Linked DNA regions of Oryctolagus cuniculus. The protein of the gene in region 2 interacts with the protein of the main gene of each other region in a pairwise test. Links are inferred from orthologs where the notes say so. Each region holds a gene or a part of one and is shown on either strand. Other genes may lie near its edges.

Region 1 (3,813 bases), on a different chromosome or scaffold from region 2:
CCCAGAGGAAAAGGAAAACGGCACCCCTCAGGAGCAGAGTGGAACAGTTAAAGTCACGTGCAATAGGCCACAGGAATTGTGAAACGCGCCTCCGGCGTGCGCTGCAAGAGGAAGAAGCCGGGGTCCCCGGCAGAGGTGCCACACAGTGCGCGTGTGGCCACGTGGCCGTGGCAGGAAGTCCAATCAATGGCTTTCACCCAAACGAGTCCAGAAGGCGGCAAAGTCCGGCCGTTCTCCCAGACCCTGCCTCCAGCCGTGCACGCGCAGACTCGAGCTCCCGTCACGGCTGTGTGTGCCGGGAGCGCCTCTGGCTTCCTTTGCGAGTGCGTTTACTGCAACCTGCGGCTCCTCCCCAGGACGCCCCAGTTCTGCGCTGGGTCCCCTCGCAGGCACCGCACTAACCCACAGCAGGTGCAGGCTGGAATCCAGTCGTCGGCCTCTCCTGGCCGTTCCGTTTCCTTCTCTGCTGTTTTTGGTTGGGCTGTTTTGGTGACGTGTACGATGTTTTCATCAATTTACTAAGTTTCTTATTTTCTTTGCCTCCTGGTGCATTTTATTAAAGCCTGGCTTTCCCTGGGAGTCACACACTTAAAGTTCTCTCTCACTTTTTTTTTTTTTTTTTTTTTTTATTTTATTTTTTTTTTTGACAGGCAGAGTGGACAGTGAGAGAGAGAGACAGAGAGAAAGGTCTTCCTTTGCCGTTGGTTCACCCTCCAATGGCCGCCGCGGCCGGCGCGCTGCGGCCGGCGCACCGCGCTGATCCGATGGCAGGAGCCAGGAGCCAGGTGCTTTTCCTGGTCTCCCATGGGGTGCAGGGCCCAAGCACCTGGGCCATCCTCCACTGCACTCCCGGGCCACAGCAGAGGGCTGGCCTGGAAGAGGGGCAACCGGGACAGAATCCGGCGCCCCGACCGGGACTAGAACCCGGTGTGCCGGCGCCGCTAGGCGGAGGATTAGCCTAGTGAGCCGCGGCGCCGGCCTCACTTTTTTTTAAGATTTACTTATTTATCTGAAAGGCGGCCGGTGCCGTGGCTCACTAGGCTAATCCTCCGCCTAGCGGCGCCGGCACACCGGGTTCTAGTCCCGGTCGGGGCTCCGGATTCTGTCCCGGTTGCCCCTCTTCCAGGCCAGCTCTCTGCTGTGGCCAGGGAGTGCAGTGGAAGATGGCCCAGGTGCTTGGGCCCTGCACCCCATGGGAGACCAGGAAAAGCACCTGGCTCCTGGCTCCTGCCATCGGATCAGCGCGGTGTGCCGGCCACAGAGCGCTGGCCGTGGCGGCCATTGGAGGGTGAACCAACGGCAAAGGAAGACCTTTCTCTCTCTCTCTCTCTCTCTCTCTCTCTCACTGTCCACTCTGCCTGTCAAAAATAAATAAATAAATAAATAAAAAATAAAAAATAAATTTATCTGAAAGGCAGAGTTACAGAGAACGAGGGATCTTCCATCCACAGGTTCACTCCCCTTAAAGCAAGTTCTTATGGTTTTAAAAAAATTCTTCCCTTTTCTCAGTGGCATTTAAAGTACACACTGTTCCCGTGGCTGGTGCTGTGGCGCAGCAGGTTAAGTGGCACCTGCAGTGCCAGCAACCCCTATGAGCACAGGTTCAAGTCCCGGGCGCTCCACTTCCAATCCAGCTCCCTGCTAATGCACCTGGGAAGGCAGCAGAAGACGGCCCGGGTGGTCGGAGACCTAGACGGAGTTCTGGGCTCCTGGCTTTGGCCTGACCTAGCCCCGGCCTTTGTCCCACTTAGGAGTGAACCAGAAATACTCTGTCGTTCTGCCTTTCAAACAAAGAAAAAAAGAAAAGTTTTTTTTTTTTTTTTTTTTTTACAGGCAGAGTGGACAGTGAGAGAGAGAGACAGAGAGAAAGGTCTTCCTTTGCCGTTGGTTCACCCTCCAATGGCCGCCGCAGCCGGCGCGCTGCGGCCGGCACACTGCACTGATCCGAAGGCAGGAGCCAGGTGCTTCTCCTGGTCTCCCATGGGGTGCAGGGCCCAAGCACTTGGGCCATCCTCCACTGCCTTCCCGGGCCACAGCAGAGAGCTGGCCTGGAAGAGGGGCAACCGGGACAGAATCCGGCGCCCCGACCGGGACTAGAACCCGGTGTGCCGGCGTCGCAAGGCGGAGGATTAGTCTAGTGAGCCCCAGCACCGGCAAAAGAAAAGATTTTTTTTAAAAAGTATTTGATGTTCCTTAATCATCAACAGGTAGCCACCCTCAAAGAGCTTGGGCTGCTGGGAGCTCATGGATGAAGTGGGAATGAGCCACGCGTGGGTGCCGAGTCCCTGGCTCTGGGGATGGTAGGAACAGGCTCCTGCCCCAGCTCTCCTGGCCACTCACCGGAAGCAGTGCCGATGGTAGAGCCTGCCCTCCACCAGGTACCGCTGCACCAGGTGCACGTGCTGCCGGCAGGCCGCGCAGGTGCTGCTGGGAGTCCGGTGGGTGCCCTGCTCCGACAGGCTGCCCGAGGAGAGCTGCTCGACCTGCAGGGCACAGGACAGGCGGAGAGGGGGTGGGGGCCCGGTCACAGCCACCCTGTTCCAGAACACTCCCCCCGTCCCCCTCCTCCCCCGTGCGCCAAGCTTCCTGGTGGTGATGCAGAGGGCAGAGGACAGCAGGCTGCCTCCTGCCCCCACCTGCGGGAGCCAAGGGCAGAAAGGGGGGAGACTCGCTCAAGGCCCGGAGCCAGGATGGAAACCTGTGGTTCCTGGTTCCTGGGGCCCTCCCCTTTGGGACTGACAGACCACTGGCCTCCTGGGCCCACCTCATCTGTCTTCTCCCCTTCCTAGCTCTGGGACCTTGAGCCAGCTGCCCGAGTCTCTGGGCCTTGGGATCCCCCCGGGGGAAACTGGACTGGTACAGCCCTGCCAGCCTCCATCCCAGCCTCCCCGGAGCCCCTCAGTACAAAGCGCTGCTCTCACTTCCTCTAAGCTTTTTGGAACAGGCAGCACGGCCCCCGCTTCCCTGCTGAGTGACCTTGGGCAAATGACTAAACCTCCCTGAGCCTAGGTTCCTCATCTGCGTTTCGGGGCCTGCAGCACCCACCTCCCCGAGCTGCCTGCGGAACTGAACCGTCACACTGGATCAGGAATCGGGAGGGCACCCTGGCCCACGGGGACGAGGGCAGAGAACATCCTCTGACCAGAGTCCCCGCGTGACAGTCGCCGCCATGACAGCTGCCCCCTACCCCCTTCCCACCCCATGCCTGCCTACCTGAGTCTCCTGTCCCGGTTCCTCTGTAGGGGGCGCTAGAGCCGGCGGAGAGGAGGCTGCCGGGTCCCTTCTGGGGGGTGACACGCCAGCTGCCAAGAGACAGGAGAGGGGCCCTGAGGCACGTGGAGACCCTGGAGGCCCAGGCCTGGAGGAGGGCCGGGCACAGGGGTGTGCTGGGAGCTGCACGGCCGGCCATGTGCGGAGGGCAAGGCGCCCGGCCCCGCTGAGCTCAGTAAAGTGGGGCAGGGGAGGGGGAACTCCCACTGCGGGTAGCCGAGGGGAACAAGAAGGCAACAGCACAGGTGCGGGGGTGGGGGGGGAGGCAGTGCCTGGGGTGACAGGGAGGGCGGGGGCAGGGCCCTCCCCCACCCCACCTCGACCTGGGCTCCTGTGAGACTCAGCTGCGTCCTCTGACTCCCTGGGGTCTGCTGTGCACCGTCCATCACAGCACAACCCCAGAGGTGGACACCCTGCAGGGAGACCCACGTCCCCCGGGGCAGCGCCAATCCAGCTCCCGGCTGAAGTCCACTGGGAGGCCACAGGTGATGGCCCCAGGTATCTGGGTCCCCGCCCCCCACCTGGGAGGCCAGGATGGAGTGA
Region 2 (2,467 bases):
CTGGGACCTGGAGTGCTTCCTCTTTCTAGAACTCCAAGAACTTGGTTATGTCCCAAGCAGGGTCAGCCTGGAGATGTGGGAATGGATCTGCTTCCCATGTGTGTGCATGTGTGTGAGCATGTGTGCACGTGTGTGGTCACCACTCCCATCTCCAACACCTGCCTGTCGAAGCCCCTCCCGCCACACCTCATCCCGTCAGTCAGCGACTTTCCTCTTGGAGGGGGGCAGGAGGTGGGCGGGCAGCTCGTTGGGCAGCTCGTGCCCCTCCAGCTTGACTTTGATGAGGTGGTTGGCCAGGGCGAACTCCTCGTCATCCAGCATGCCGTCCTTGTCAATGTCTGCCAGCTTCCAGATCTTGCCCAGCACACTGTTGGGCAGCTTGGAGCGCACCATCTCCTTCTTCGCATTAGCGCCTGTGATCTTGCCGTCCACCGGGGACAGGGTGTAGAAGATCTCGTCGTACATGGGCTTGTCCCTGGCCACCACCCACTCTGCATCGTCGATGCCCTCCCCAGCCCCTTCCCCGTAGCCATGCCCGAAGGGGCCGTGCAGGGTGCCCTCGAACGCTCCTCCCTTCACCATCTGGACGGGCCGCTGGGTCTCCTCCTGGCGCACCAGCACCATGAGCTGGGCAATGTCGTGTGCCAGCATGTCATCCACCACCTCCAGCAGCTTGCTCTTCAGCGGCTGGAATTTGCTGAAGTCCTGGGCCTGGAGCTGGTCCTGGGGAGAGGGAGGGAGGGAGGGAGACAGTGAAGACACAGGAAGGGAGGCAGCAGCCGCGTGCTGGCGGTGCGCTTCCAATAATGCCGGGACGTCCACAGCCCAGCTCCTATCCCCAGGGCTAAGTGGGTCACCTCGGAGAATCGTGGAAGACAGGAGAGAGGAACAGGAGAAAAGGCACAGTGGGCCAGGATGGAGTCTATGAGCAGTAGAAAGGTGGCAGGGACAGGGGACTTTAACAAGTATGGGTTTGGTCTCTTGTGATTGAGAGTAAACCATCGCGCTTCTCTTTATGCCAGCTCGGCTGTGGAATGGATTCTTCTTTCTCAGGCATGCGTGGTTGCTTATGGGAATTGGCTCATAAGAATATAGGATACACGTGGGGGAAGGGTGACTTGGGACTGGAGTCCGGGGGTCTCTGCTTTAATGAAGCTTGAAGACGCTTCATTATGAGTACTTTCACTGCGTCCCCTCGGTCACTGCCCCAAGGGGTTGAGAAGTCACACTCCACCCCCAGTGAGTGAGAGAAGCCGAGAGCAACTGGAATCAAACCCTACTGGCAGCCAAAGCCATCCTCACAACCTACAGATGTCCAGGAGGATGCTCATGGGAATGACCCGGAGAGAGTTCTCAGAACACTGGTTTCTCCCCTGTGCGTTTCAGCGGAGGGAGGGGCAGGAGCAGACTTTCCACGCTCCCTTCCTTGCCTCTGTGTGACGACCCACCCTCCACTCTGTATGGTTCTGTCACGTTCAAAGGCCCTAGTCTACCACAGCCAGCTTCTCCTTGGCCTCTAGGGGGTGACAAGGGGAGCACTTTGTGTTCTTGCCCTGGCTCTGGCCATAGCAACCCCAGAACGCTGGGAGGAAGCCAGCACACAGGGACAGGCGTGTTGGGTTCACTGCAGAGAAATTCAGAAACACCCTCAGCTACATTTCAAGAGCGAGTGTGAACCTGGATGCTTCTCACCTCCCTCCTAGGGGCAAGGCTAGGAGGCAGTGGGGGCTGATCGTGGTCTGGGAACCCAGCAGACATGCCTCTCCCTGTGTGTTTAACCCTAGAGGCTCCCAAGTAGGGCTCCTATTGTCACCTGTGGGGGCATGGTGGGTGTGCCCATCACCCCCACCACACACACACACACACACACACACACACACATGACAGCCGTTCACCCTGTTGATTTAGTAGAATCTACAGAGCAGACAGGACACCAGACAGGCAAACAAATGAGGAAGTGCAAAGCACTGATGCTGCACAAGGCTTCTTCATATTAAAAAGCAGGTGTGCGACCCCTTTCAGAGGCCATCTTCCCAAAGATTTGTCTACAGATCATTAAAGTCTGAACCGAAAGACAAAGAGCAGAAGTGCTCCAACCAAGCAGTTTTGAGATCGGTGCCTGGCTCCCAGTAGGCGGTTCTAGGGATGAATGACCAGGGGTACATGCCTCCTTGGGATGTGTGTGCGTGGGTCCTCTTAATTTCACTAGATGGGAAATGGCAGATGTCTCTCAGTGCCTGTGATCAGCTGAGAACCTGCTTCCCAACCTAAAGATGCCAATAACCACAAGAACAAAGTCTGTTACTCGTGCTTCTGTGGCTGCTAGCTTTTGGTTTTCCAATATTCTGATGAAAAAAAAATTAAAAATTTATTTATTTTTATTTCATTTGAGAGAGAGACAGAGAAATAGAAAAGTCTTCCACCTGCTGGTTCACTCCCCAAATGCCCACAACAGCTGGTCTCGGGC

The links.
Region 1: the proteins of EHD3 (region 2) and MICALL1 interact in binary tests that used the Homo sapiens proteins (3 or more experiments, as listed by UniProt). The link is inferred for Oryctolagus cuniculus from reciprocal best matches to the Homo sapiens genes EHD3 and MICALL1.

What each region holds. Positions count from the first base shown.
Region 1 is NC_091442.1:114,741,245-114,745,057, reverse strand, and holds part of MICALL1 (MICAL-like protein 1), read right to left. Parts: intron 3,303-3,813; coding exon 3,214-3,302; intron 2,484-3,213; coding exon 2,341-2,483; intron 2,335-2,340; exon of another isoform or gene 980-2,334; intron 601-979; exon of another isoform or gene 31-600; intron 1-30. UniProt on the Homo sapiens protein: Lipid-binding protein with higher affinity for phosphatidic acid, a lipid enriched in recycling endosome membranes. On endosome membranes, acts as a downstream effector of Rab proteins recruiting cytosolic proteins to regulate membrane tubulation.
Region 2 is NC_091433.1:171,394,487-171,396,953, forward strand, and holds part of EHD3 (EH domain-containing protein 3), read right to left. Parts: intron 724-2,467; coding exon 196-723; 3' UTR 1-195. UniProt on the Homo sapiens protein: ATP- and membrane-binding protein that controls membrane reorganization/tubulation upon ATP hydrolysis. In vitro causes tubulation of endocytic membranes. Binding to phosphatidic acid induces its membrane tubulation activity.